4 linked regions of the Saccharomyces cerevisiae S288C genome follow. Changing the gene in region 1 together with any one later gene gives a genetic interaction. Each region holds a gene or a part of one and is shown in the gene's direction. Other genes may lie near its edges. The genes, in order: SRY1, ALT2, HXT5 and TDA3.

Region 1 (8,206 bases):
AACTCGTGGATGTGCAGTAAGGACGTAAATCTCGTTAAAGCATAACTTTTAATGGACGCAGCGCTTAGGTTTGGCTTATCCTCTTCATCTTCCTCATACTCTACACCTTGATCCTGGCTATAAACTCTTTCCAGCAATTCATCATCTCTTGTATCCTGAATTGATTGTGCAGGCAGTGATGGGTTATGGTATAGCTTTTCGTGATCCGGGTTGTAAACTTCCGGCTCATAATTTATAGGGTTACCTTCTCCGTCCACTAGAGGAGGCTCTGCAAATGTACTTGTGTTATAGTATAGTTTTCTGCCAGCAGGTTGTTGCTGTTCACCAGATATTTTCTCATCTGTAATTGACGACGACATATTTTCAGTAGCAGTATTTAATCTCTTTGAGGAAAAACTTTTGAAACTGTTACTCTTCTTCCTTTTAGATCTAAGGGAGAAGGACTAGACAACTTCCAAAACTATTTCTCAACAATGATGTGCAATGTATTTATACATCAAGAGGGTACTTCACTTTGCTGATTTTTTTTTTTTTTTTTTTTTTTTTTTTTTTGGTAAAGGATAGTACCATAGGAGATAGTAAGTGTTACTTAGATCTCCATCCAAATGACCAGGTAACGTTCTAATGCATTATAGTAGAAGGGGGGGCAAAAGACCGTTAAGTGAAGAATTATGGACGTCCGGATGGTGTGCAGAAGCTTACAAACTAACTTCCTGGTGGAGAATAATGGTAGGCTTGGCGGCTCTGAGATGGAGAAATAGTTTCAAGCCGCGCGCTCAATAACTTCCTCGATCACTGACTTTCGCACCCATCTGGGAACGGTACGGCGAATAGTCTTCATTTAATTGGAGCTGATCGAAAATGCTTGCTGCCGCTTCAGCGTGAATGACGCAGGTGCTGCGTTTGTCCTGTGCCTCCTTTTTTTTTTGGAGTCCGTTTGTCGGCTATTAGCTCTTGGGCTCTAACCCCAGGAAAAGGAAAAAGAGAAACACGCCGGTCTAGTGGAGTAAATTGCGGGGTCAGGATCCCGCGCGGATATCGGCCGTTCAAAGGGTGAAAAGAAGAAATCATTGGAGTCGTTGCGAGTCATTCTTTACGAATCTAATTTCTCCAAATTTTTACAGGTATTCTTAGCCGCCCAAGGTAGCATACAATGACCTTCTATTGCAAAAATGTACAGTGGAATGTAAAAACAGTGGGGACAAACCTGTGGAACACTAAGCGTGGGGGTCCATCCACTTAAACTAAATCGTATTGTTTAAAAGTGTGCAAGCATTGCGATAACGTTCGATTAGACTCTGAATGGAAGACAATGAGTTGATTTTGCTACCAGCAAAAAAAATAATTTATAAACACATTATTCTTGCAATATTTTTCATACTGTGCGTTTATACCTTTTGAAAATTATAGATCCATTTATATATTAATTAACATCCGAAACAAAAGGAAAGTGCGAGGACCGGCCCACCCGATGACTAACGGGAAAGTGGACATGATTTGCCATTTGTACGGGTAATATTTACATATTATTTGATGTGCTTCTTTGGATTGTGTGCAATCACTTACTTCACAGTGTCTATGTAAGAGATGTGAGAGTGTAGCTCGGAAGGTGGAGACATCTCCTAGATCTTGTCTGGCTTCGTTGGGGTAGCCATGAGAAGTTTTCCATTCCCCCGGGTCATGCATGCTGCCCGAGTCAAATAGCGTTTAACTTTGACTCGTACGCCATAATAGGTTATGTTTTATCTTTGGTCAGGGACCCCAGTATTGAGAAAGTAACCTAGGGATGCTACGCCCCAGCTTTACTACGTGGATGATACAGTAAGCACATACATATTGACGGCATCTAATCGTTCTAAACGGAAAAATAGGCGCTGATTTGATCCACTTCGGTTAGGTAACCGCTGATGCCAACGATCTAGGGCCCTTCCATTTTAGGAAAAAGGGTATATACTCTGATGCCCTGTCTGGCCGAACATTCGTATATGTGGATGTATCGTGATCCGTTCGTATTCAATAAAAGTGTAACGATCTCATCTCAAGTCAAAAGTGAGAAGGGAATAACTAAAAAAGAAAAACTGATATTTTGACGTGACGTGGTTTATTAGCAAGTATGTTTCAACCATTCTCAGCGTAAACCCTATCACAATAACGTCTCTATGAAAAGTTTAACATTTTGTCTATCTCGGTTCAATCAGTTGAATAGCGAACCTTATAGCAAATAGCATTTTCAATAAAAATGTGACATACAGACTTCCACTTTTCTTGCTTTTCTCATGCTCTGTGTGATGCTACTGTTACCGCGGCACCACATTTTGGCATACGTCGGGACATTGGCGGCTGAATAGATTATACCCGTCGCCCTTTTTTCATCTCTCCTTTTCTTTTTGTCGTAAGCAAATTACAGAATTGAATATTTGAATAACCCTAAAAAAAATGCCACTCCCCTAAAAACAAACCAGATTAAGTTGCAAGAAATAGACTGATTGGAACATACGGGTCCTATTCAGTGCTCAATAAAAATTAAAATAATGTGATCAAACAACCCGAGACTATTCTTGAATTAGCATTAGCCACTATAAATTTTAACATTTTTCAGAGTCTTTCGTGCGGAGACCGTAAATATTAGCATTGACCTTGTCAATGAAGTAATTGTCTTTGATTTTAACCGTGTTAAAGATTTCGCAAAAGAGAAAGCTTGCTGGCTTGGAGCAGTAACTTTTTTTGATTTTTTTTTACAAGCACACATGCTTTTGCCTTTAGAATATTACGGCTCCTCATGTGGATAGTAAAAACTTGACCGTTGCATCTGTTCTCCTTCGAACAAAGAATAAATCGTCTGAAAAATCACATAGAAAAATAATAGAAAAATAAAAAACATAGTAACATATTTTAAAAGAGACCTTTTATTGAAGAAAATTTGGCGATAAAAATGATTATAACATTGAAATGACGAAGAAAAGGACAGTGCCCGAATTCTCGATTCCAATAAAAGGCGAAAAATTACAATCGCCAGCATGTTTGGTACGGGGCGACTCGTGGCATTTTAAAGTACGCTGGCATGTTTAAAGGTATTAGTGTTCTTGGCGTGGAAAGTGCAGGTGTCTCACTTTTTAGAACGAACAAATTCAAACAATATACAACAATCCGCCGAAAACATTCCAGAAATTAAGATTGTTAAGCACTTTTGCTAAGAAAAAAAAAGGGCTCTCCCCTGTGAATTAACTCAAAGGTAGCGTGTTCTGCCTATGCAAGGTGACCGTTTTTGCAGATATTGTAGTGAGATGCTCTACAAAAGGGGTTTCCTAATCTAATCTTTTACCATATCAAAAATGCCCTAATATTATTATTAAAGAGCTATCAAAGCCTGATTCCTTAGGTATATGACTAGTTCCCGAATTAATGGCATTGATTCATTACTTATTTTATTAGGGGGATGATAAAAATAATGATATCTTTTTCTGCAGCGTCATTTAAGTACTGATTGAGACTGACAGTTGTGATAGAGATATTAAGTAGTAGAAACGGTCCATGAATTGTTCTTTGTTAATATTCTTGCTGAGGGAGGCTTTTCTTTTGGGCTGCTATGCTTTCATTCTACTTAAGCAACGAGATAGGAAGCTTCAAAAGGTGAATGGTGAAATGCTGAAGAAGATTTCGTCATTCCAATCCTCGAGAGTGCGACGTAAGTAGTGACTCTAATGAATTTTCTATGCCTCATAAAGCTTGAGGTATATTTATCCATACGCAAATAATACACGATCTAGGATTATTGTAGTATGTTATTGTTTGACAATATCCTTGGACAAGTTCTAATCACTTATATTTCCCAAACATGATTCGTGTATTTTGGCGTTAGAAAACGACGGCAAGTAAGCTCCCAACATTTACTTGACGAGTTTTTTGTCACTATCATCACGCCCTAGAGCCAAGTTATATTTTTATCGTAAATTCTGTAAATTAACAGTCATTCTAAGCAGGTTGTTTTAATATTTACAGGTAACTTGGCTGACTTCTTTTAAATGTGGCTTCTATGACAAAAAAACTGAAAAAAATGACTAATTAGTAAATTCAGCCTCTTATCATAAAATCAGGGTCTATAGGACGGTACGTGAGAAAAAGATAAGCTTTGGAATATAAAGAGTTACATTTTCATTCTGCAAAAATTCAAATAAAGGAGTATTGAAAAAAAACTTAAAAAGTACAAATAATTAATATAGTTCGAGATATTTAGTTTTCATTGAGTTGGAAAAATGATTGTTCCCACTTATGGAGACGTTTTGGATGCCAGCAACAGAATTAAAGAATATGTAAATAAAACACCGGTTCTCACTTCACGAATGCTTAATGATCGACTTGGAGCACAAATATACTTTAAAGGTGAGAATTTCCAACGAGTGGGAGCGTTCAAGTTTCGTGGAGCAATGAATGCTGTTTCAAAATTAAGTGATGAAAAAAGAAGTAAGGGAGTAATTGCCTTCTCATCAGGAAACCATGCACAGGCTATTGCTCTTAGTGCAAAACTATTAAATGTACCTGCAACAATTGTTATGCCCGAGGATGCGCCCGCCCTTAAAGTTGCTGCTACAGCCGGTTACGGAGCACATATCATAAGGTATAACAGGTATACTGAAGATCGCGAGCAGATTGGGCGTCAACTAGCAGCCGAACATGGTTTTGCATTGATTCCGCCCTACGATCATCCTGATGTTATTGCAGGGCAAGGTACGTCGGCAAAAGAGCTATTAGAAGAGGTTGGACAACTTGATGCATTATTTGTTCCTTTGGGCGGTGGTGGGCTCCTTTCAGGATCTGCACTTGCCGCTAGAAGCCTTTCTCCAGGCTGCAAAATTTTTGGGGTTGAACCTGAAGCTGGTAACGATGGACAACAATCCTTCAGATCGGGTTCCATTGTTCATATCAATACGCCAAAAACTATCGCAGATGGCGCTCAAACACAACACCTCGGTGAGTACACATTTGCCATTATTCGCGAAAATGTCGATGATATTTTAACGGTTAGCGACCAAGAGCTAGTAAAATGCATGCACTTTCTTGCGGAACGCATGAAGGTGGTTGTTGAGCCCACAGCTTGTTTGGGATTTGCAGGTGCACTTCTAAAAAAGGAAGAGCTAGTTGGGAAGAAAGTAGGCATAATACTAAGTGGAGGTAATGTAGACATGAAGAGATATGCTACTTTAATCTCTGGGAAGGAAGATGGCCCAACGATTTAGTGTATACTTTTGAATTTTGAGTTCAGTTTTATAGTGAAGAATTGGAAAGCTTTAGTTGTCTACTTTCACACGGCATATATCATTTGACTTAACATTAATAACATGGTTGAGATTTTGAAGTGAGTTCAGCAAAAAAAGCCTCTAGCTGATTTATACTCTGATAACTCTACATATTTTTCTACTAGTATTATATTTCACTGAACTGACACCCTTATGTGGGAAAATTTTTTGGCAGAATGATAGTGTGTGAGAGGGAAGAATACTGCTTATGTCAAACTAATAATATAACTTCTGACTGTGACTATGAGCATTACTGGTATATTAGTTTCTTTTGCATATTTTGAACTAAAACAGAAGAGCGTTCCTAGGCTTACACCCAGTAAAGACATAGCTTCTAAGTTGAAAAAACATATCTCTACTTCAATTAAAGGTAACTGTCATAATGTCCTATTTTATACGCAGAAAAAATTCTCTTTTCCACACACAATATCGTCTGCTCTTATTACTAATCAATCGAGATCTTGCATGAAGATATTTATGGTCCACAGGAAAGGATAAGCCTCTATTTTAAGGAATTATTACCTAACCAAGACCAAAACTGTAGAAATCCTCCTAAATTTAGTTCTTCACTTTTTTTTGATAATCATAATATGTGTCAAGATATTCGCAGCAGCCACATATATGAATACCAAGTTATTCAACAATTGAGTTTTAAAGAGCAACCCTGAAGGATAAATTAGTGTTTTACATTATATCCGTAGGAAAAAAATATGGCGATATACGTGACAGATCCCACAAACAATAAAGCATCAAGCAAGGTCACCAGGTCAGTTCTACCGCAGAAATTAACGATGTATTACTTAGTGCTCTTTTGTAGCAATAAATTCGCGTGAAATACTCAACACATGTATTGATATAACTTTCAACATGTTCCCTTGATTAACAGTAGACGGGAAAAGAGTTACATGGTTATGTTCAAAATGGATAGTTATGACCAGTACCAACTAACACTCAATATTCTTTTATGATTTGGAAGATCAAACTGTTGCACAATCAATTGGATTATAGTTTCTCTATTTCATTAATTATTATAACAACAAATTAAGTGAATTAAATATTGAAATATTATAATATAATCAGTTAATGGGTTTGACAATAACCATTTTTAATAATATTAGGAAAAGTAAGTATTAGGTTATTATTTATTTAATAATTTGAAAATTAAATAAATTAATATAATCTTATCATTTTTATTTATATATTATTTTATTATCATATTATTATTATTTATTATTTCTATATTATAATTTTTTTAAATTTTTATATCGTATAAATATTGATAAAATATAATTATTAATAATAAATTACAACATTTAAATAATATAAATAATTGAACTATTTTATAATAAAATATAAAAAGAATAAAAATTTCTTCTTTTTATATTTTATAAATATTACTATTTATTGCAATTTATTCTTATATTCATATTTTTTTGTTATTATTATTTATTTCTGTTAATATACTGGTTTTTGTTAACCAGAGGGGAATAGGAAAAAGAATAGTTGTAATAATAATAATAAGCGACCTTGTTTAGGCTATTCGCATCTAATAAACTACACGATCTATAAATTGAAAAGGCATGCTTGTTCCTACACGGGAGGCGCCTGTTTGCGGGTCAATTGCGCTTCTTTAATGTATGGCCATAGTTCCACGTTTAGAGGTCTATCAAACATAGGTTTCTTTGTAGATAGAAGGCGGTAAAAGAAGTGGTTAAAAAACCATTCACAGTCAATCCCATCAAAGAAAAACTCTTCACTAGTCCAGACTTTTTTCTCAAACAAGTACCTGTTCATTTTCTTTGCAATTTCGTCCCATCCATTCGCACCACTTTCTTGCTCATTTATAATCGTTGACAAGAACTGCATTTTGTCTTCCATGTGCATGGAAAAGGGCCTCATATTTTGAAAAACTCTTACCATAAGGAGAAAACCTCCCCCACAACACAAGATACGAAATAGATGGCCCTTATCCCATGACACATAGATACAAGCCAGAAACAGAATAAATGCTGGAAAAAGCCAGAGATTGAAAATCCTCTTGAGAACCCAGGTAAACTTATAACGATAAGTTTTCTTGGGGAGCTGAACATGTTCCAAGTTATCAGGGCTCCACACTTTCTCAGTATTGAACAACTTCCACTTTTTGTCAAATTCTGTGGAATAGACTTGCAAGGCCTCTTCGATGTAGGGGACAGAATCCCCAAATGATTTTATTTTCGAAGATTCATCTTTCTTCACAGAGAATGGTTCGAGAAGAACTTTTCTGAATGCTTTTTGACACTCTGCAGCATTGAAAAAGAAGTACTCAGTATTCCAAGCTTTATTTTCATAGAAGTAAGAATTTAGATTTGCCGCAACTGTTTCCCAATCATGAGTATCAGTACCTGGTGCATGTTCAACAATTTCTTTGGAGAACTGAGTAAGTTGATTCGTTAACACACTTTTATGAGAGAATGAATAAATATTGGGTAAAAATATCCCCACTAGGCATGAGACTAAAATACAAAGTTTAAACGGAAAAATCCGATTGATGGACTTTATCTGCGAAAGAAAACCTGGCAACCACATTAGCAGTAATAATAGCAACCAGGTACGAAACGTGAAGCACTTGAAGAACTCATAAAACATCCAGGTGAAGTTATCCATGAAAAGGTCTTGAGGCAGAACAACTTTCTGGGATTCGAAATGTTTGAGGGATAACACATCTATACTCCTATCTTTAACCCCATCGCCTCTCATTCTGATAGCGATATGCCAATTTGAGGACGGTATGAGGGGTTTGTTATTGGAGTTACAACTTCTGACTATTTGCATTTATATAGTCGGAAAGAAAAAGCCGCCAAGCGGGCGTATCATACATTGGCTTAGTTAATTGTAAAACTTTTATACGACAATAGACGTTCCTCAAAGTA
Region 2 (5,974 bases), on another chromosome or scaffold:
AGGGTTGGATTTATTTTACGGATAACATAGGATTTGCGAGAAATATCTGCTTCACTATCACTTTCCGTGCGACGTGTGTATTTGTTAGCGTAGGTTGCTTATCGTTTTCACACAAAGATCTCAAACGCGTCAAAAAACTCGTGTAAGAGGTCAAAAAGAAAAACAAACAAAATAAACAAACAAAATAAATGCAGCTTTAAATCAATATTCGGCGAAGGCAAGTAACGGTTGCTAGCGGTTTTTCCCATTCACATACTATTACACTTCTGCGGTACCAAGCTAGATTAAGTGCTAGATAATAAACCTTTATGATGCCAGCTAACGAAGATAAAGAGAATAATATCGTATATACAGGGAATGAAAGTTCCGGCATTAACTTTCCACAGACGCCGGCTCACTTGCTGAAAAGGTCGCACTCTAATATTTTAAAACCACCTGTAAGATTGGACCAACTCAAAAGGGATGCGAACAGCAACAATGGCAACACATTAAAGTACATACAAGGAGGGAAGGAGGTGTCACCCACAAAAAGGTTGCATACCCATGCGCAACAACAAGGAAGATTGCCTCTGGCAGCAAAAGACAACAATAGATCGAAAAGCTTTATTTTTCCCGAAACTTCTAATCAGAGTAAAGATGCAGACTTACCACAACTACAGAATACACTATCTATACGCAAAAACGACCAACTCAGGAAACTTTCGCAAATTTCTCGCAGTCGTAGTAGGGCCAACCATAATGATTTGTTAAGCAATTCAAGAAAGTTACAAAAGTACGGTTCTGTCCTTGGTTATAATGCTTTACCTAAAATGAAAAGTCTAGTTTTAAAAGATCTTGCAGATTCAGGTAAAAATGAAGAGAGTTCCGACGATGATGAAGGTAATGAAGATTCCGAGAGTAAACTTGGCAAAAAACTCCAAAGTGCACTTTTAAAACAGGATTCCTCCGACGGTGAAAATGAATTAAATGGTGGCCTAGGACTATTTAATGAGCAAGGTGGTCTGCAACAACTCATAAAGAACTCCACGAAGAATGAGCAAAAAACTAAAAACGATAAAAGTGATAAAACTGATGACTATGATATCGAAATAGCACCACAGAGGCAGGAGCCGTTACCGTATGTACCAGAAGGCTATTCCCCATTTCAACAAGATGATATTGAAAAGCTGAAGACGTTCAACTCACCATATAAGCTTGACTTGGAAGACGAAGATGACACCCCAGATAAAGTTGATTTACTCCCACTAGAACAAATTGATGAAGAAGGCGAAAAAGATGAGACTGAGTGCATCACTCGGAATCAAGAAGAAGGTGCAGCGTTACCACTGCTGTCTAAGAACTTCAAAGAAGTTGCCGCCGTCCCAACCATGGAGTTAGTGTACAGCGAAGAAGGCCTCGATCCTGAAGAACTAGAGGACTTAGTTACTTAGATCCACTGCTCATTCACATACACACAACATATATACACGTATATACAGATACTTTATAACATACAATTCTGGTTAAAAGCGGTTGCTCCTGCCGCCGGGATTTAATCTGCGGCCTCACCCATACCTCAACTACCGCCATTGTTCGTACGTTTTAAATGGCTTCGCTTCACCCTTGATTGGCAAAGGGTCCAAGAGGGATCACATCACGATACTATTGTTTCTACTAATGTGCTGCGGGCTGATGTCCTCCACACGTCTTCAATTGCTTCTCTTTATGGGTTCTCAAAGTACTTCGTCATAATTACTTCATTATACCTAAGAAAATAATTTCATTTTTTTTCTGAATTTTTTAGCAGAAAAAAAAAAAGTTCAAGTTTGGCCTCATTCGCAATATTTTCTCCATGGAAACGGCTTGTATCTTGAGGCTTCTCCTACTTGTTTGGCGATTTTATTTTATTTTTCCTACTCTTATGGTCCCATATGTACATCTACATATCTCTTCAAATTACCAATACACTTTTAGGATAGCTAAATTTACTACTTCGTGTGGGAACTATATTCTGTTCACTTTTCTTTTTGATCCTTTCTTGACTGACATCATCCTTTTCTCATTCAGTAAATACCCCAATATTTCCTCATATCTCTAGAGGCATAAAAGATAAGAATAAAGGGAAGGAGCGCCACAGTAGTGTTGTTTTTGTAAGTGGTAAACACAGAAGAAGTAAGAACACATGACAATGACACACCAACAGGATTTGAAAGGTGTGTTCACCGCAAAGGATTTGGATTTTAAGCCCGCTGGCAAGATTACTAAAAAAGATTTGAATACAGGTGTCACTAAGGCAGAATATGCTGTAAGAGGAGCTATTCCAACCAGAGCTGACGAGCTAAAAGAGGAATTGAAAAAAAACCCAGAAGTTTTGCCTTTCGATGATATTATCAATGCGAACATTGGTAATCCGCAGCAACTGGATCAGAAGCCTTTGACCTTTACCAGGCAAGTACTGGCCATCCTGGAGTACCCGGAAATTTTACGAGTAGGCCATAATGAACTGGCTTCTTTGAACTTGTTTTCCAGGGACGCCTTGGAAAGAGCTGAGCGCCTCTTGAATGATATTGGCGGTTCTATAGGGGCATATTCGCATTCTCAAGGTGTGCCAGGAATAAGGCAAACAGTTGCTGACTTCATTACTAGAAGAGACGGCGGTGAGCCCGCTACACCGGAAGATATTTATTTAACCACTGGCGCTTCGTCCGCGGCAACTTCTTTGTTATCTTTATTGTGTAAAGATTCTCAAACAGGCCTGCTGATTCCAATTCCGCAGTATCCGCTTTATACTGCATCCGCATCTCTTTTCAATGCACAAGTGCTGCCATACTACTTAGATGAGGAGTCAAATTGGTCTACAAACAGCGACGAAATTGAAAAAGTAGTGCAAGATGCTTTGAAAAAACAGATCAGACCATCTGTGCTGATAGTTATTAATCCAGGTAACCCAACCGGTGCAGTTCTTTCTGAAGAAACCATTGCCAGGATCTGTTTGATCGCTGCGAAATACGGCATTACAATCATTTCTGATGAGGTCTATCAAGAAAACATTTTCAACGATGTTAAATTTCATTCGATGAAGAAAGTCCTAAGAAAATTGCAGCATCTTTATCCAGGAAAATTCGATAACGTTCAGCTCGCCTCTTTACACTCCATTTCTAAAGGATTCATGGATGAGTGCGGCCAAAGAGGCGGTTACATGGAAATTATTGGGTTTTCTCAAGAAATAAGAGATGCTCTTTTCAAACTCATGTCTATATCCATATGTTCTGTTGTCACAGGACAAGCTGTGGTTGATTTAATGGTCAAACCACCCCAGCCTGGAGACGAGTCCTATGAACAAGATCATGACGAAAGGCTGAAAATTTTTCATGAAATGCGTACGAGAGCAAACTTATTGTACGAGACGTTTAAGGAACTAGAGGGTATCGAATGCCAAAAACCTCAGGGTGCAATGTATCTTTTCCCTAGGCTTGTTTTACCTAAGAAAGCTCTTTGTGAAAGCGAACGCCTTGGCATCGAACCTGATGAGTTCTATTGCACATCTTTGCTAGAATCTACAGGTATTTGTACTGTCCCAGGGTCTGGGTTCGGACAAAGACCCGGGACTTATCATGTGCGAACAACGTTTTTGGCTCCAGGGACTAAATGGATTCAAGACTGGAAAGAATTTCATCAAGATTTCTTCAGCAAGTATCGTAATTGAATGAAAAAAAAAAACTAATGATAATGGCTTTCTATTTGTTTTGCATCCATGGTGGGGGTGAAGTTTAAATTTGTAATAGTATACATGCATCATTCTTTACTAAGGGAAATAAGGAAAAGTATATATCTGCCTCTTGTAATATTGTTCAAGGAAATAAATTTTGGAGCATTCCTCTGCATCTATTGTTCAATTAAAAAAAAAAAAAAAAAAAAAAAAAAAAAAAAAAAGTAATTATTCATATAAAACCACCTTGCGGGCAAGATCATATTATCCAAGTTGATACTTATTTAAAAATATAAAAATTTTTTAACCGCGTACATTAAATACAGGGTCATATACAGGAAGAGCTTTCAACACCTTTTTGAATACTTTATATGCAATAGGTGCTTTTTTTTTTCACCTATGGTGACTCCTCCTTTCATTCTATCCTACATATTATTACAATTCCATTGATGTGCCAAAGTCTCTTGTTTGATCTCCATTACCCTGTTGGTCTAATTTCTGTCGTTTTGTTGACGGCGATTCCAGAGTTTGATAGTAGGAAGTTTCTGGTCTAGTTATTTCGACACTTTGATCTACTTGTGATGCACCGTCACTTTCTTTTTGATCCCCTTTTTCAGGCTCTTCTGTTCCCTGCATTGGGGCTGCCACGCCGGTGGACTCTATTCGGTCCTCATCGACATTATGAGGAGGCTTTTCTTCGGGAGTTAAGGTATTAGGTTCAAATTCGCCCTCTGAAGAATCATGTGCCAAATCATCATACTCATCGATATAGTTTTTTTCAGTTAGATCAAATTGTTTTTGCACTTCTTCTTCAAAGTTATCATTTCCTATATTGTTATTATGAAGAATTCCATTATTGTTACAGCTATTATCCGCTTCATTAGCAAGGGCAAAAGTATTGACATCTTCCAAATATATAAGACCTTTTCCACCTGCCATCTTGAACATATTACGGGAATATGTGTTTTCTATAACCCTTTCTCTCTTAGTCTCAAACTTGGCATTGTGACCTGGAACTTCACTAAGTAGTACTTGCACAGGTTTACGTTTCGTTCTCTTATTTCTCCTTCGGTTGAATCTGTAAGGGCCATATCTTAGGCACTTACCCCAATCGGCTAGACATTCCTTCTTATAACTATTTAGAGCATACTGAATGCACAGTATACCCCCAGTATGAAATCTCGCAGAACTCTTCAAACCCAAGCCAATACGGAGACCGTATTTTGATGCAATTTCTTCACAAATATCATAAAGATCATCTTTATCTAAAGTGCTTGATGTTACGAAAATTGGAACCCTAGCAAATGTTAAAAAAAGTGAGGAAACAACTGGGATAAGATGTTTGAATTTGGTACTCTTAAGTGGTAATAACCACATAAAACTAGAGCGATAGTCTCGGCATAAAAGGACATAAGAATATTTTCCCTCAATAGCTTCTCCATTGAAGGGTTCGAATACCTCAATATGTATCCTTTCCATTGGTAGTAGTTTATCGTACATGTCAGGACGTTTATATTCCTTCAATGGTTTAATTTTGCCCTTTTTATTACATTTTGAACAAAATTGCTGGACCCAATCGATGATGGCATGACTAATATTGGCAAAATGAGAAAATAAAAAGGAATGTAATGTTTTACCCCTAAGATGCTTATTCATCAAGTGTGTTGCCATCACCATGTCGTATACATGCTTTGGCTCACAGTATATTTTATCATTATTTCGGCCATCTCTAACATTTCCTTCATCATCAACATAATACTGTCTTTGCAAAAATAACAGCTTGTTTTCTGCCACTACACCATCGTATTTATCACTTATTTGTTGCAAGGTATCTGCAGTTAAAGATTTTGTTTTTATTAGTTCATATATTTTCTGCGTTAGTTGTCTTGTCAGAGATTCAAGAAAGATTGGTGTTTCTCTTTCTCCCCTTTCCAATAATTCTAAGTTCAAATAAGAGTCTACGTACTCAGTATATGATTCCCCCATAGAGGGAAGTATCAGTAGACGATCTTTTGAGGACTCTCTTGATTCCCCAGGTGACGTTGCCTTTCTTCTCTGCGATTTCCTCGTAACTGATTCTGATGGTACCGAGTCATCATCATCAAACAACACGTCATTGTAACGCGGTTTCGTCATTGTTATCCTCAGCACAAATTCACACTCACACAATCGTTAAATTGTTCTCCCCCCTGAAGGCTTAATTCAATGTCGTTAAAATGAATACATGCGATGAGGAATCACCTCGCAATTTTTTTTTCTTTTCAATATATCGCGAAAAAGAAAAAA
Region 3 (9,066 bases), on another chromosome or scaffold:
CACGGAACAGTCGATTTCTTGGTGCCAAGTATTTACAATGCTATTCAGGAGAAGGAGCTTTTACCACTACACTACGTGTTTTTGATTGATGTTTCATTGTTAGCTAATGAGAACGGAAGTTCTTTAGCCATGGTGGAAGGTGTCAGGTCATGTATTGAGTATATTTCAGATTTCCAGCCAAATTGTGAGGTTGCTATAATCGTTTATGATAATAAGTTGCGGTTCTTTAATTTGAGACCAGATTTAGATAATGCACAAGAGTACATTGTAAGTGAATTGGACGATGTTTTCTTACCATTTTATAATGGATTATTTGTTAAACCCGGAAACTCGATGAAAATCATTAATGACACATTGATAAAAATTAGTGGTTACATCTCCACCGACAAGTATAGTCACGTACCCCAAGTCTGTTATGGTTCTGCTTTACAAGCCGCAAAATTAGCGTTAGACACAGTAACTGGCGGGCAAGGTGGTAAGATTATTTGTTCTTTGAACAGCTTGCCAACGATCGGCAACGGGAATTTATCGCTAAAAAGGGACAATGCACACATTGCTCATGTTAAATGCGACAATGGGTTCTATAAGAAATTAGCATCGGATTTTTTGAAATCCTACATTTCTTTAGATTTATATGTGACCAATGCGGGATTCATTGATATGGCCACTGTGGGCCATCCTGTAGAGATGACTTCCGGTATTTTGAAATATTATCCCCACTTTCAACAAGAGACGGATGCCTTCACTTTGGTTAACGACATGGTTACAAATGTCTCCAATATTGTTGGTTATCAAGCTTTATTGAAAGTTCGCTGTTCTACTGGGCTATCTGTGGAACAGTACTACTGCGATTCATCTGATAATACGGATCATGATCCAATTATTCCTGTATTGACTAGAGATACCACCTTAGATGTCTTACTAAAATATGACAGTAAAATAAAAACAGGAACCGATGTTCATTTCCAAACTGCATTGTTATATACTGATATTGATGGTGTCAGAAAAGTTCGTTCTATTAACACGTCAGGTGCGGTATCTAATAACATTCGTGAAATTTTCAAGTTTATAAATCAAAATCCTGTCATGAGAATAATGATCAAAGATGTCATAAAGACGCTCGGTGATTGTGACTTTGTAAAGATCAGAAGATTAATTGATGACAAGATGGTCGAAATCTTGACCCAATATAGAGGATTGGTTAGCAGTAACTCATCAACGCAATTGATACTGCCGGATTCTATAAAGACATTGCCTGCTTACATGTTAGCATTTGAAAAAAGCGAATTAATGAAGCCAAACGCTCAAAGTACCCGTGGTAATGAACGAATTTATGATTTATTGAAGTACGATTCATTGAACTCAGCACAACTTTGCTACAAACTTTATCCACAAATTGTGCCATTCCATGTATTATTAGAGGAAACTGATCTGACCTTTTACGATGCTAATGATAAATTATTACAGATCAACTCCAGCTCTATTAATAATCTATCTGTAAGAGCCTCACACTCTAATTTCATTAACGGCGGTTGCTACTTGATTTTCCAAGGTGATACTATCTATCTATGGTTTAATGAGAACACCAATAGAATGCTCTTGCAAGACCTGCTGTCAGTGGATGAATCCTTGCCCGTCAGCCAAATTTCGTTATTTAGTGGAACATTGCCTGAGACGGGCACTAGTATTAATCAAAAGGCTTCAAACGTCATTAAAAACTGGCAACAAGTAGTCAACAAGTCATCATTGCCGTTAGTCTTGTTGAGGCCTAATGTTGATCAATATTACAGTAATGTGATGAGTCAATTGCTTTGCGAGGACAAGACCGTCAACAGAATCGAATCATATGACAATTACTTGGTGATAATGCATAAAAAAATTCAAGAAAAACTTCAAAAAGACGATTTCATTAAAGTCTCGACTGCCGCAACTCACGAAAATATCCATCAAAAATTTGTGCAGTTTTGAGCCTCGCTCAAAGGAGACCCTGTGCTTACACGCAGAAAACTGGAAATAACGACATATTGTTGTGGCTGTGGCCGATGCGGTTCGTATATCCATTACTAAATAATTAAATACGTAAATGAATGAATAGACTGATATGATTGTGATTTTTACGTGTTGGCTATATTGTGCCTTTCTGCATTCACCTGCGCCTCCTCATGTAGAAAGGCGTTGATCAAGGGGAATACAGGAGAAGTATTTTTGGGTTCGTGTTTTGGTGGGGTTCCAGCCACAGAAGGGCTCTCGGCAGCGAAACGCTGACTATGCTGAGAATACTGCCAAAAAAAAAAAAAAGGCAGTATGTGAAACGCAGGCAGAGAAAGGGTGAAATTCTACATAGGATGAGAGAATCTCATAATTACAGGGATAAAACTGTAGCTTTGCTTCCTCTTTTATCTTTATTTTTTCTTGACTGTCTTCTGGTAAATCTTGCAAAATTACTACTATTTTGTATTTCAGAAGCGTTTTTTCCAAAGAATACTATATCAAACAGACGCAAATGAATCAAACAGGAAGGACCATAGGCGGTCCTCAAAATGGCGTGAATACAGTGATTAACCCCTTCAGAGTTTCTCCTTCAGAGGACAGAGTATCAAGCAGGGATGAAACGCCCAGGAATTATAAGTATGTGTAGCTCCACTCCCAAAATTGCACTACAGTGTAACTAACAGTCATGACTACTTCAGAATACTAACTTAACTCTTTTTCTCCTTTCAAAATCGATTGAGATAATCCATAATTATTGCAGTAACCCATTTTTAAATGAAGATGACACTAGGAGGGCCCATAACAGTAGCGTTTCCAATTCTAGACAAGAAAGACTCCCATCATATGAAGAAGCTGCGGGGACACCGAAACAGCAAGCTCCATACCCAAAAGAAAAGAAACGCAGTAGTGGTTCAAATAGTCACCAACACAACCACCACCACCATCGTCGTACATCACACGGACATAGGGACAAAGATAAGCAGAAGAGCAAAAGCAGAACCAAGGTTAAGCCCCCTAAAAATGTAGACACTATTGACAAGATGGATGTTACAGGATTATTTGGCGGATCTTTCCATCATGACGGCCCCTTTGATGCATGCACTCCACAGAGAAATAAGAATAATAAAGTGGCGCCTGTACTGGCCTTCCCAGCAGATGGTCCAAATAATACAGTAGGCGGCCGCACAAGTAAGAAGTCTACCTTAGATGAGGTGTTTGGTAGGGAAACAGTAGACGACGATTCTGAGACGCTGAACCAACTACAAGATAGAGCATATTTATTCAATAAGGCCAATTCCAGTACTACGACTTTGGATGCGATTAAACCGAATTCAAAAAATATTACCCAGTTCGATTCCAAAATGAAAACTGAACTAGTCCATGGGCCCATTACGATGGGTCTAGGCTCAACGACGTTCCTGGATGGCGCACCAGCGTCTTCCGCTGCCATAGAGCAAGATGTTATCAACCACGCACAAGAATCTCGTAGGAAAAACAGCATAGCAAGAAAAAAGTCTCTCCCCTCAAGAAGACATCTACAAGTGAACAACAACAATTTAAAGCTAGTGAAAACACATAGTGGACACTTGGAGCAAAAGGACGTAGACGATAATAGAACTTCTGTTCCGGTCACTGCCACCCAAGGAAGCGGTCACGAAGATGTTGTTAAAAAGGAAAACACCGGCAACAAGCTATTAAGGAGGGTGAAAAGCTTGAAAACTAGTAAAAAGCACTGATCAATGCTTCTTTCTTGCGTTCTTTTTGTTGCGCCCATATATTATTTTATTTATTACATTCATATAGCAATATTTACCTTATTTTATTGGTTACTTTTCTATACGCAAAATCACTACACTATGTTATGTTAAGGTCTCCGATACGGGAATATACCAATCAATACTTATCACTTCGGATTTTTTATGGGTCTTATCCCCACTGTTCCATTTTCTTGTTTAAGGCATCCCGGAGGATAAACTAAAAAGGTGGCCCATCCCACCCGAAATGAAAGTAATCATCTGCTAGCAAAAAGTAAAGAAATGAGAGCATGCTGTGATGTACTGGTGGACGAAATTGTGACCCATACCCACCGAAGAAACATCCGCATGACGTGTTACTGTTACTTCCCGGATTAAGGGATGCATTCTAACTCTGTGCGCCCTTTTCTCTGCAGTTGATCCGCATTCCCCGTGGCTGTGCACATTAGGGGACAGTAAGTAATTCACTTTCTGATCCCGCACTCATAGCGATGGAATAATATACCGGATTTCACACCTTGTTATTGAGTGAAGTACTGCTTGGTGAAATGATATCTTTATGTTCAATATTAATGGTCGTGTGGATGAATATATGGGCATGGGTTAATTAGTTTTAGGGGCACGGAGTAAACAAGAAAGGAGGGCCAGAATCATTAGTAGAGTACCTCAAGTTTGGTTTCTTTTTGATTTCACGTATAAAAGAGTCTCTCTCTTTTCTTTTCATGCTAGTCGAACGGTTCTCCCTCTAAGAATAAGAAACTATCAAAAGAAAGAGAAAAGTCGATTGAATAATTTTTCTATATATAATATACGCAAACAAGATTCGCTTTCACTTTGCAATTTTACTTCATAGCTTTGTTAAAACCAGCAAAAAATATTATTTTTCTAGAAAAAAGAATATATTAGAGGTAAAGAAAGAATGTCGGAACTTGAAAACGCTCATCAAGGCCCCTTGGAAGGGTCTGCTACTGTGAGCACAAATTCTAACTCATACAACGAGAAGTCAGGAAACTCGACTGCTCCTGGTACCGCCGGTTACAACGATAATTTGGCACAAGCTAAACCCGTCTCAAGTTACATTTCCCATGAAGGCCCTCCCAAAGACGAACTGGAAGAGCTTCAGAAGGAGGTTGACAAACAACTAGAGAAGAAATCGAAGTCGGATTTACTATTTGTATCCGTCTGCTGTTTGATGGTTGCTTTTGGTGGGTTCGTGTTTGGGTGGGATACTGGTACTATATCTGGTTTTGTCAGGCAAACAGACTTCATTAGGCGATTTGGCAGCACCCGTGCAAACGGGACTACCTATCTTTCCGATGTCAGAACCGGTTTGATGGTTTCTATTTTCAACATCGGCTGCGCTATCGGAGGTATAGTTTTGTCAAAGCTCGGTGATATGTATGGACGTAAGATTGGTCTGATGACTGTTGTCGTCATTTACTCAATTGGGATCATCATCCAAATCGCCTCCATTGACAAATGGTATCAATATTTCATTGGAAGAATCATCTCAGGACTGGGCGTTGGTGGTATTACAGTTTTGGCGCCTATGCTAATTTCTGAAGTGTCGCCTAAGCAGTTGCGTGGTACTCTGGTTTCATGTTACCAATTAATGATCACTTTCGGTATCTTTTTGGGATATTGTACTAATTTTGGTACCAAGAATTACTCAAACTCTGTCCAATGGAGGGTACCATTAGGCTTATGCTTTGCATGGTCTATTTTTATGATTGTTGGTATGACGTTCGTTCCTGAATCCCCACGTTATCTGGTAGAAGTGGGAAAAATTGAAGAGGCCAAGCGGTCCTTAGCAAGAGCTAACAAAACCACTGAAGACTCTCCTTTAGTAACTTTAGAAATGGAGAACTATCAGTCTTCTATTGAAGCTGAGAGATTGGCGGGCTCTGCTTCTTGGGGGGAATTGGTTACTGGTAAGCCCCAGATGTTCAGACGTACACTAATGGGTATGATGATTCAATCTTTACAACAGCTGACAGGTGACAATTACTTCTTTTACTATGGTACTACAATTTTCCAGGCTGTTGGTTTGGAAGATTCATTTGAAACTGCTATTGTTTTGGGTGTTGTTAATTTTGTTTCGACTTTTTTCTCGCTATATACCGTCGATCGTTTTGGTCGTCGTAATTGTTTGTTATGGGGCTGTGTAGGTATGATTTGTTGCTATGTCGTCTATGCCTCTGTTGGTGTTACCAGATTATGGCCAAACGGTCAAGATCAACCATCTTCAAAGGGTGCTGGTAACTGTATGATTGTTTTCGCATGTTTCTACATTTTCTGTTTCGCTACCACTTGGGCCCCCGTTGCCTATGTCCTTATCTCTGAGTCGTATCCCTTAAGAGTACGTGGTAAAGCAATGTCGATTGCAAGTGCCTGTAACTGGATTTGGGGGTTCTTGATCAGTTTTTTCACTCCATTTATTACTTCAGCAATCAATTTCTATTATGGCTATGTCTTTATGGGTTGTATGGTGTTCGCATACTTTTATGTGTTCTTCTTTGTTCCAGAGACAAAGGGCTTAACATTAGAAGAAGTCAACGAAATGTATGAAGAAAATGTGCTACCTTGGAAGTCTACCAAATGGATCCCACCATCTAGGAGAACAACAGATTATGACCTAGACGCTACTAGAAATGATCCGAGACCATTTTATAAAAGGATGTTCACTAAAGAAAAATAATCTCTTGTAGTGTAGGATCAACTATTTTCGCATACTTGCAATGTTCAGCATTGCACCATTTCAAATTTTAATATTAATATTAATCGTTTTCGTTCATATGTTCATTCATAGTTTACAAATAATGCAATCATATGCAGAGATATTTTGTCCGTGGTTAATAGGGCTGCCTGTTATTCCTTTAATTCAACTAAATTACGTATGTCTAATAATATCAAAATCATCATGACGTTTTTGTTTTTTTTCTTTATTTTAAGTAGGATCAAACCAGGGGAGAAAGGGTTGCTACGCCTAACAACAAGAACTTGTATATCGTTTCTTGTTACTTATACTTTTCTGCCCACTTCTCTCTTACAACTGCTCGAGCTCATCCTTGGTAATAAAACAGTGAGGACGGTTACTCGAGGTTTCAACAGGGGAAAATAAATTTATATGATGAATCAAGAGCCCCGTTCTTTTACCGTATTATCCTTCATACTACATACTAGGGAAAGAACTGAAAACTCCGCTACCTGCTGTAACAGCGCATAATAAAAAGCAAGAATATAGACAGTTACTGTTGTTTACGTTCTTTGATGACATCATTCTCATCAGACATACAGAAACACATCCTTTTTGTCTACCCCGTATTTATTCCAACTTCAAAGTATAGGTACCGTCCGGTTATACTCTCATATACTTTGTGGCAGTTTGCTTCTTTAAACCTTGTTAACCCAGAATATTTTCAGTGCAAAAAGCTTCCGATCCTCAAATACAGTGAGAGAAAAAGCAAACTTGTCTTCATTATTTTTCTGTTTGGCCCTGTCACGGTTCTTTTTATGGCCTTCTCGAAGGATATCCGTAGTCAATTATATTCACGTAGTTGCCAAAAGTAATTTTTGGAAAACTATTATTCCTCCGAGAAAACCTCACACAGAAATCCTTGCAGGTCTCATCTGGAATATAATTCCCCCCTCCTGAAGCAAATTTTTCCTTTGAGCCGGAATTTTTGATATTCCGAGTTCTTTTTTTCCATTCGCGGAGGTTATTCCATTCCTAAACGAGTGGCCACAATGAAACTTCAATTCATATCGACCGACTATTTTTCTCCGAACCAAAAAAATAGCAGGGCGAGATTGGAGCTGCGGAAAAAAGAGGAAAAAATTTTTTCGTAGTTTTCTTGTGCAAATTAGGGTGTAAGGTTTCTAGGGCTTATTGGTTCAAGCAGAAGAGACAACAATTGTAGGTCCTAAATTCAAGGCGGATGTAAGGAGTATTGGTTTCGAAAGTTTTTCCGAAGCGGCATGGCAGGGACTACTTGCGCATGCGCTCGGATTATCTTCATTTTTGCTTGCAAAAACGTAGAATCATGGTAAATTACATGAAGAATTCTCTTTTTTTTTTTTTTTTTTTTTTTTTTACCTCTAAAGAGTGTTGACCAACTGAAAAAACCCTTCTTCAAGAGAGTTAAACTAAGACTAACCATCATAACTTCCAAGGAATTAATCGATATCTTGCACTCCTGATTTTTCTTCAAAGAGACAGCGCAAAGGATTATGACACTGTTGCATTGAGTCAAAAGTTTTTCCGAAGTGACCCAGTGCTCTTTTTTTTTTTCCGTGAAGGACTGACAAATATGCGCACAAGATCCAATACGTAATGGAAATTCGGAAAAACTAGGAAGAAATGCTGCAGGGCATTGCCGTGCCGATCTTTTGTCTTTCAGATATATGAGAAAAAGAATATTCATCAAGTGCTGATAGAAGAATACCACTCATATGACGTGGGCAGAAGACAGCAAACGTAAACATGAGCTGCTGCGACATTTGATGGCTTTTATCCGACAAGCCAGGAAACTCCACCATTATCTAATGTAGCAAAATATTTCTTAACACCCGAAGTTGCGTGTCCCCCTCACGTTTTTAATCATTTGAATTAGTATATTGAAATTATATATAAAGGCAACAATGTCCCCATAATCAATTCCATCTGGGGTCTCATGTTCTTTCCCCACCTTAAAATCTATAAAGATATCATAATCGTCAACTAGTTGATATACGTAAAATCATGAATTCAACTCCCGATCTAATATCTCCTCAGAAATCCAATTCATCCAACTCATATGAATTGGAATCTGGTCGTTCAAAGGCCATGAATACTCCAGAAGGTAAAAATGAAAGTTTTCACGACAACTTAAGTGAAAGTCAAGTGCAACCCGCCGTTGCCCCTCCAAACACCGGAAAAGGTGTCTACGTAACGGTTTCTATCTGTTGTGTTATGGTTGCTTTCGGTGGTTTCATATTTGGATGGGATACTGGTACCATTTCTGGTTTTGTTGCTCAAACTGATTTTCTAAGAAGATTTGGTATGAAGCACCACGACGGTAGTCATTACTTGTCCAAGGTGAGAACTGGTTTAATTGTCTCTATTTTTAACATTGGTTGTGCCATTGGTGGTATCGTCTTAGCCAAGCTAGGTGATATGTATGGTCGTAGAATCGGTTTGATTGTCGTTGTAGTAATCTACACTATCGGTATCATTATTCAAATAGCCTCGATCAACAAGTGGTACCAATATTTCATTGGTAGAATTATCTCTGGTTTAGGTGTCGGTGGTATCACAGTTTTATCTCCCATGCTAATATCT
Region 4 (8,849 bases), on another chromosome or scaffold:
CCTTTACCGCGTTATGATTCGTTTTGTCGTTAAGGTTGAAAACACCAGCAAACAATTTTTTTGAAGAAAAACCCCATTTGCGTATACTTATATGTAGATATATTTTATTAATATTTAATCATTGTTTACATACATTAAATATACATATGTTGATATTACTAATAATTTTTTGATTTTTGGTTGACCATAATGCAATTCTCTTAAAATCTCAACTTAGAGAAGAACCATTGGTTCTTACCAGCTTGGTGTCTTTCTTCGAAAGCCTTCTTGACGACTTTCTTAGCTTCTTCACGTTGGGAAGGTTGTTCGAAAGTTTCAGTAGAAACAACGGATTTGAAAGCTTCAACATCTAAAGTGTATCTGGTTGGCAATAAATGGTTGTAGTTGACGACCTTGATGAAAGGCTTGATCTTGGTTCTCTTAGCAACCTTCTTGGCACCGTGCTTCTTGGTGACCTTCAATGGGTATCTTTCAATACCGGCAACCAAAGCGTGACCAAATGGGTGAGACTTGGAACCTTCATCATGTGGTTTAACGATAACAACCTTCTTACCGGCGTAACGACCACGGACAACGACAGCTGTGTAAAAAAAGGAAGGAAAAGAAATAGTTAGTAAATGTGAACCCTTCTTAAAGTTTGGCGAATTCTCAATTTTGTTCTTCAATACTAGGGAGAGAAAAATTATCATAGGCCCACGAATTTTTAATAGGGCATGGAAAGAACTACAGTAAATAAAAGGCCCTGGTCGCCTGCGTACATGTGCCTATGGTCTTAGCAAATATATCGCGGAACTTTCACCATCTTATTTGGTGGCTATTGATGCTTTTTTCTTTTAAATTACAACTTTTTGATAACCCTTCCACTGCCTCGTATAGCTCAATGAATATGAATAATCGTTAGTTTCGCTCCTAAATCATTCATCTTTTTGTCCAATATTTCTATTAATAAGCTATCATTCAAATTTAAAGGTTTTTTCCCAGATCTAACATCTCCACGCTTTTTCCTCCCTACTCCCATATGAAGATACAATACTCGAATTCAAACTCAAATTATACAACATCAACTGCTAATAACTTGGATTTCTAATACCACAGTTGCACGGTTTTTTGTTGATGTCCAAAAACTGAAAATGATACGTACCAACTTTACCAGCTTTCAAGAACTTAGCCATTTTTTTCTTTGGTTATGCTTTTGTTTTAACACGTTGAGACTATCTAAGAAATTCTAAAAATCTAATATATCTTTAATTTTAGCTCAAAACTACGGCAGTATGTTTTACATGAACGAACACTTTACTAGTGAAAAGAATTTCAGGAAACCTGCCTTCGGGCGAATCTCTGCAGCAAGAGCGTAGGCGGAGCTCTGCTGGAAAGACTTTGTCTCAGACAGTTCTGTCGTGATGGGAGAACTGAGCGGATCACTCCCATTAGTTTGAGAGGAACTTCTCTCCGCAGCCTTGATTCTGCCTCGGGACTCCACCTGGAATATTGTTATCGGCTCTTTCAAGAAATACAGGACTCATAAGGTGAAAAAAAAAAAAACAGTGTAGGTGCAACAGCAAAAAATGTAAAGATGTAGGTGTACGGATGCATTAACGTCTTTCGAGGCCCTTTCCATTCTTCCGTGAAAAATATTCACTGAACGTATAATATGAGACGGTTCCGTCCGAGTCCCCTTAGCTGGAATCGTGTAAGCCAATTTATCAATACATGCAGCCTTGGTGCTTTTGTGCGTCTATCCCCTACATGCATAAGATTACGTATGAATGAAAAAAGCACGACATAGAAGTGAAACCATATCTGTAACCTGGCACACGTACTACAAAAGTTATATTGTTCCTTTTTTTTTTTTTTTTTTTTCTATTGTTAAATCAAGACTTAAAAAAAATCAGCCAACAAGTAATTCTGTTTGATAGTTCAAGTCACTCAGCAAAAGATTTTCGTGCTCTCCAATACACCATCTAAGTATCAATAGCATTTTAACCAAGCAACAGAAGGAATAGTGTTTATAAATGGGTGAAGATTTTATGCACCCACCGTTTCAAACGTACCCTTCAAAGAACAGCGAAGGGAAAAAACATATTGTCATTGTAGGTGGCGGTATCATCGGTTGCTGTACTGCTTACTACTTGACCCAGCATCCAAGTTTCAGCCCTTCGACGCATCATATTACCATCATTGAATCGAGGCGCATTGCTGGAGGGGCTTCTGGTAAAGCAGGTGGCTTGCTTGCATCTTGGGCTTTCCCTCACCAAATCGTACCTTTAAGTTTCCAGCTACATCAGGAGTTGAGTGATGAATATGATGGAGAAAACAACTGGGACTACAGAAGATTGACGACTGTGTCCTTAGAAGCAGATGTTCGCGAAGAAGTCATTGAAAACTACGAAAGACTGAGCAAGAAGGCATATAATCTGAATGTCCCTCCTCCAAAGAAGAGACCGGGCTACATATCCAACAAGTTTAACATCGGGGACTCTAATTCATCTTTGAGTTCTTCGGGCTCTTCTTTGAAAAACGACTCCGCTAGTAACGAGGAAGAAGGATCAGACATTCATGTTTCTAGCTCAGTACCCAGTTTACACTCTCTAACAAATGAGCGCATGAGAAGCCACACAAATAGCGCATCTGATCTTGACTCTGTAAGTCCCGTGGAGCAACTGAGAGAGACTAATATCCATAATCCTTTGCCTGCTGATTTAGATTGGATAAGAAGAGAATTGGTTAATGATTGGTCATCACTAGGTGGTACTGATACCACAGCGCAGCTTCATCCCTATAAATTCACCCATTTCATCTTATCGAAGGCAATGGAAACAGGTGCTGTCGATCTTCTCCTAGGTAAGGTAGTTGGGCTAAAGTGTGACGAGATGGATTGTGTTCATTCTCTTAAGTACCTTCCATCTGTCGTCAAGAATCGCAGAAATAGCAGAGGGCATGCAGAAAATCCAGACATTAAGCTGGGTACAATCTTCAACGATGAGAACGCGAAGCCCATTGAAATCAATGACATCCAGCAGATTGTTTTGAGTATGGGACCCTGGACTTCCAAGATTCTAAAAGATTGTCCAATTTCTGGATTGAGAGCCCACTCTGTCACCATTAAGCCTAGTGAAAAGACAGTTTCACCTTACGCTATTCTTGCTGAACTAAAAGTTAACGACCGTGAATTTTTCTCCCCTGAAATGTATGCTAGAAAAGATGAAGTTTATGTGTGCGGCGAAGGCGACACTTTAGTCAATATACCTGAAAGTTCGGACGATGTGGAGGTAGTTTCGGAGAAGTGTGATGAATTGTACCATTACGTATCCAAATTATCGCCAACTCTATCAAAGGGCCATCTCTTGCGGAAACAAGCCTGTTTTTTGCCAGTTTTAAACGTTCCTACAAGTTCTGGTCCCTTAATTGGTGAGACAAATGTCAAGGATCTTTATATTGCAAGTGGACATTCTTGTTGGGGTATTAACAATGCGCCAGCAACAGGTAAATTAATGGCTGAGATTCTCCTTGATGGCGAAGCAACCTCTGCGGAAATCTCAAGTTTGGATCCAAAGTTATATTTCGACGCCACCATCCTTTCTTAATCAAGCCGAGGAGTAAAAAGGTCAAGAAAAGTATATGCACAAATTTGTACATATAAGAGCTTATTTATTTATATATTTAAAATTTCTGAGGCCATTTAATGTGTATATATTTAACGAATACCTAAATCTATATATTTCTTTTTTTTTTTTCTCTCTCTCTCTCTCTTTCTCTTTCTCTCTTGGCGTCTATCCTGTTTGCCCTTGCGCATGCTACCGATTGCACGTGTAGTATTCTACTTGAGGTTGAGCTGATTACTAATTGCTATTATCATTGTTGGCGCGACCTTAAACCTGGACCAATAACACAGGCCGAACCACTAGCTTCGCAAAAAAAAAAGTAGGGATGTGCCGAAAAATTTCCGCGACCGTAGCAGACACCCCTGATGAAGAAGCTATAACTTGTATATAAGAGCGTTGCATCCCCAAAATATACAAGCTAGCTACAGCGATTGCTTTTCACTTGCTGCTACAGGAACGAAACCCCAATTGATAACTATACCTCCTAAAAACGTACCAGGATGTTCGCGAAAACAGCAGCTGCTAATTTAACCAAGAAGGGTGGTTTGTCATTGCTCTCCACCACAGCAAGGAGAACCAAAGTCACCTTGCCAGACTTGAAGTGGGACTTCGGTGCATTGGAACCTTATATCTCCGGTCAAATCAACGAATTGCATTACACCAAGCACCATCAAACTTATGTGAACGGATTCAACACTGCTGTTGACCAATTCCAAGAACTCTCAGATCTTCTGGCCAAGGAGCCCTCTCCCGCAAACGCAAGAAAAATGATTGCTATCCAACAAAACATCAAGTTCCATGGCGGTGGTTTCACAAACCACTGTCTATTCTGGGAAAACCTGGCTCCAGAGTCGCAGGGCGGTGGTGAACCACCCACCGGCGCTTTGGCAAAGGCAATCGACGAGCAGTTTGGCAGTCTGGACGAGCTGATTAAGTTGACCAACACAAAGCTAGCAGGCGTGCAGGGCTCCGGATGGGCCTTCATTGTGAAAAACCTCTCTAATGGAGGCAAGCTGGACGTTGTTCAAACCTACAACCAGGATACCGTCACAGGCCCACTAGTTCCTCTAGTTGCCATTGACGCCTGGGAACACGCCTACTACTTGCAGTACCAAAACAAGAAAGCCGACTACTTCAAAGCCATTTGGAATGTGGTCAACTGGAAAGAAGCATCCAGAAGATTCGATGCTGGCAAGATCTGAAGAAAGAAAGAAAGAAAATACCTTTTTTTTTCCACTGTGTCGTTTTTATTCTAACTACTCTACTAAATCACACAACCACACTCCCCTATTTAATAATATATTTTACTATTAAAATACATATACATGCATCGTAAAAAAAGAAAAAAAGAAAAGAAAAGAACCGAAAAAGACAATACAACCAACCTTCCTCCACTTTTTCTTTTTCCTTGTTCTCTCTCGCTTCCTACGTTACTCGCGCCTGTGCACTACATTCCCACCAGATTAACTCACCACCAGGCAGAGAACCAATTGTTCTTGTTATTGTTCCAACCGATAATTGTAAAGCCATTAAGGTCGTAAACGACTGCTTACTCAGGGAGATCTCCGAAAACGGCAATTGCTGTGCACCGTGCGACGTTATGATCGCCGCCTGTCCCGTACAGACGAACAATTGCAACAATGGGCGGTTGTTTAGAGAGGTTTTGTGCCGCGCCCGGGAATTACCGGGGGCACAGCAAAATACGAAATTTCCGGCAAAATGTCTCTGTACGAAAATGAGGCCAGCCTTTATTCCCGACTAAGCCGTACGATTATAGTAATGTCACACGAAGTGGATACTATACGAGCAGCGCACATACAATGTGCGTGCAAGATTTGCCGGGTTGGACAATCTTAAAGGCCGATAATCCACGAAAAACGAGACAAACGAAGCGCTGGCCCTAAACGAAACGAAACGAAACTAAGATTTCAAGATAATCGCTTTTCAGATGACAATAGTCTCTTGCAGAACACAATAAGTGTGGTAGGTATCTTGCAGGAGACATCGATTTTATGCCTGAATTTTTTTTTTTTCTTGGTATGAGCACATCCTATTGTGCATCTCCACGAGTTAACGACGTTTACGTACTCGCATGTATTCGAAAAGCCTCTAAAAATTGCCCTCCATGTGTATTCATTATATAAGATAGCGTATTTTCCCTTAGTTTTCTTATTCCCTCTTAATTCTCTCTTTCAATGTCTTTTTTTTTTTCCCTTTTCCTTTTTCCCTTTTCGTTATTGGTAAATTATTTATAAAAAGATTGATAAGCAGTATCGTTCAGCGTGTGTATTTTCGATAGGAAGTAATAATTTTTCATTATATTAATTAATAGTTTCCAGAAAAAATTTTTTTTCCTTCACAATTGCAGCAGGCTTGAATAGAAACAGAACAAACGAGTAATACAAGGATGTCTGCTACCAAGTCAATCGTTGGAGAGGCATTGGAATACGTAAACATTGGTTTAAGTCATTTCTTGGCTTTACCATTGGCCCAAAGAATCTCTTTGATCATAATAATTCCTTTCATTTACAATATTGTATGGCAATTACTATATTCTTTGAGAAAGGACCGTCCACCTCTAGTGTTTTACTGGATTCCATGGGTCGGTAGTGCTGTTGTGTACGGTATGAAGCCATACGAGTTTTTCGAAGAATGTCAAAAGAAATACGGTGATATTTTTTCATTCGTTTTGTTAGGAAGAGTCATGACTGTGTATTTAGGACCAAAGGGTCACGAATTTGTCTTCAACGCTAAGTTGGCAGATGTTTCAGCAGAAGCTGCTTACGCTCATTTGACTACTCCAGTTTTCGGTAAAGGTGTTATTTACGATTGTCCAAATTCTAGATTGATGGAGCAAAAGAAGTTTGTTAAGGGTGCTCTAACCAAAGAAGCCTTCAAGAGCTACGTTCCATTGATTGCTGAAGAAGTGTACAAGTACTTCAGAGACTCCAAAAACTTCCGTTTGAATGAAAGAACTACTGGTACTATTGACGTGATGGTTACTCAACCTGAAATGACTATTTTCACCGCTTCAAGATCATTATTGGGTAAGGAAATGAGAGCAAAATTGGATACCGATTTTGCTTACTTGTACAGTGATTTGGATAAGGGTTTCACTCCAATCAACTTCGTCTTCCCTAACTTACCATTGGAACACTATAGAAAGAGAGATCACGCTCAAAAGGCTATCTCCGGTACTTACATGTCTTTGATTAAGGAAAGAAGAAAGAACAACGACATTCAAGACAGAGATTTGATCGATTCCTTGATGAAGAACTCTACCTACAAGGATGGTGTGAAGATGACTGATCAAGAAATCGCTAACTTGTTAATTGGTGTCTTAATGGGTGGTCAACATACTTCTGCTGCCACTTCTGCTTGGATTTTGTTGCACTTGGCTGAAAGACCAGATGTCCAACAAGAATTGTACGAAGAACAAATGCGTGTTTTGGATGGTGGTAAGAAGGAATTGACCTACGATTTATTACAAGAAATGCCATTGTTGAACCAAACTATTAAGGAAACTCTAAGAATGCACCATCCATTGCACTCTTTGTTCCGTAAGGTTATGAAAGATATGCACGTTCCAAACACTTCTTATGTCATCCCAGCAGGTTATCACGTTTTGGTTTCTCCAGGTTACACTCATTTAAGAGACGAATACTTCCCTAATGCTCACCAATTCAACATTCACCGTTGGAACAAAGATTCTGCCTCCTCTTATTCCGTCGGTGAAGAAGTCGATTACGGTTTCGGTGCCATTTCTAAGGGTGTCAGCTCTCCATACTTACCTTTCGGTGGTGGTAGACACAGATGTATCGGTGAACACTTTGCTTACTGTCAGCTAGGTGTTCTAATGTCCATTTTTATCAGAACATTAAAATGGCATTACCCAGAGGGTAAGACCGTTCCACCTCCTGACTTTACATCTATGGTTACTCTTCCAACCGGTCCAGCCAAGATCATCTGGGAAAAGAGAAATCCAGAACAAAAGATCTAAGGTTTGTAACTGAGAAAAAAAAAAAAAACAGAAAAAGAGAGAAGTTGTACATTCACGTGGGCCTTATCGCCACACTCATCCATCTCCAATGATTTATTTTATTTGCCAGTACGTTTGATATGACATCGAGTTATGTTCTTTAGTTACTTTCAAACTTGGACAACCATCCCGCATTATTTATGAGTGGTATGGTTTCACTTCTTTATTTATAAATATTTATACTACGAAATTATATATAGATTACATTTCTAAAACAACATCAAATATAAGGTTTATTTATGCAACATGCCTACTGGATTAGAAGAGAGAACACACAGCTCACAGGCCAAGCGGAAATAAAGCAGTCTTTTCGCAAACTTGTAAATCTTTTTGCAATTTAAATTAATCAAGAGAGGGCCCAGGAGGAGAGGAGTTTTGGGGAGGGGTCACTGAGGAAGCTCTCTTAAATATGGATTCACTGAAATAAATGTATATAAGATTCATTACTGCTTTTTATAGTGATAAATCCAAATGATGAGTGAATTGAACCATCCTTAGTATCCATTGTTTTATAAAGCACCGCTAAAAATAATATATTGCTACAAAAATGATATAATAATAATATTACGTAAAATACCTGAAACCGCCATAAAAATAATACCTGAATTAACCTTAAAATTCTATCCCATAAGCTTTTTTGTAAAGGGCCAGATAATCTTGAGTCTCCTTCAAATGATTCTCACCCAGAAGTTCAAAGTCCATTTGCTTCTGTAACATCTCATTAATGGAAATCATATTGCTTTCCTTTGACTGATTGATTGCGTCCTCCTCGGTTTTGTCTGGCTCCAACAACGATTGCTCTGAATCCAATGGGTATGACTTATTTGTTTCTGTAGTTGTTATTGGATCGCCTGAAAGTGGAGATAGCGCTGAGGAGGCAGAGGATAATGCTGGAGAATCCATATGCAATGTGTATCTTGATGATTGATACTCTTGTGGTACAGAAGATGCATTTTGGGGTGACAAAATTGGGGGAGATATTATTGACCACTCTTTGAGATTTTGGACTTCTGTAGGTCCTCTTGATTGTGTAGTTTGTGTAGGTCTTGATATTTGTTTGCGTTCAAACCATTGAGTGCCTATTCCAAAATCGTTTTTTTCGGTTTTGGTTGGTATGATCTTGTCATTAGGGCGTTCCTTGGACTGCATTACTGTCGCTTCTATACAATTCTTATTTTGTAAAGCTGGTTCGGAAACACTTTCGTCGG

Evidence for each region.
Region 2: mutations in SRY1 (region 1) and ALT2 together harm fitness more than expected from each alone (negative genetic interaction), as found in Saccharomyces cerevisiae (2 studies listed by BioGRID).
Region 3: mutations in SRY1 (region 1) and HXT5 together harm fitness more than expected from each alone (negative genetic interaction), as found in Saccharomyces cerevisiae (2 studies listed by BioGRID).
Region 4: mutations in SRY1 (region 1) and TDA3 together harm fitness more than expected from each alone (negative genetic interaction), as found in Saccharomyces cerevisiae (2 studies listed by BioGRID).

Annotation. Positions count from the first base shown.
Region 1 is NC_001143.9:14,387-22,592, reverse strand, and holds SRY1 (threo-3-hydroxy-L-aspartate ammonia-lyase SRY1), read left to right. Parts: upstream 1-4,253; coding exon 4,254-5,234; downstream 5,235-8,206. Other genes in the region: JEN1 (monocarboxylate/H+ symporter), read right to left, coding at 1-359; COS9 (Cos9p), read right to left, coding at 6,885-8,108. UniProt on the Saccharomyces cerevisiae protein: Catalyzes the deamination of L-threo-3-hydroxyaspartate to oxaloacetate and ammonia. Shows a high specificity towards L-threo-3-hydroxyaspartate as other 3-hydroxyaminoacids, i.e.
Region 2 is NC_001136.10:675,952-681,925, reverse strand, and holds ALT2 (alanine transaminase ALT2), read left to right. Parts: upstream 1-2,161; coding exon 2,162-3,685; downstream 3,686-5,974. Other genes in the region: YDR114C (uncharacterized protein), read left to right, coding at 1-2; PDS1 (securin), read left to right, coding at 309-1,430; replication fork barrier binding protein FOB1, read right to left, coding at 4,124-5,824. UniProt on the Saccharomyces cerevisiae protein: Inactive alanine aminotransferase. Forms a catalytically active Schiff base with PLP, but lacks alanine transaminase activity, probably due to an altered structural conformation of the dimeric enzyme.
Region 3 is NC_001140.6:292,047-301,112, reverse strand, and holds HXT5 (hexose transporter HXT5), read left to right. Parts: upstream 1-4,665; coding exon 4,666-6,444; downstream 6,445-9,066. Other genes in the region: SFB3 (Sfb3p), read left to right, coding at 1-1,968; PAL2 (Pal2p), read left to right, coding at 2,504-2,628, 2,753-3,728; hexose transporter HXT1, read left to right, coding at 8,488-9,066.
Region 4 is NC_001140.6:118,844-127,692, reverse strand, and holds TDA3 (Tda3p), read left to right. Parts: upstream 1-2,012; coding exon 2,013-3,584; downstream 3,585-8,849. Other genes in the region: 60S ribosomal protein eL27 RPL27A, read right to left, coding at 201-580, 1,142-1,172; superoxide dismutase SOD2, read left to right, coding at 4,103-4,804; YHR007C-A (uncharacterized protein), read left to right, coding at 4,928-5,143; ERG11 (sterol 14-demethylase), read left to right, coding at 6,010-7,602; STP2 (Stp2p), read right to left, coding at 8,254-8,849. UniProt on the Saccharomyces cerevisiae protein: Putative oxidoreductase that negatively regulates the retrieval of cargo from late endosomes to the Golgi. Regulates YIF1 and KEX2 localization. Required for fast DNA replication.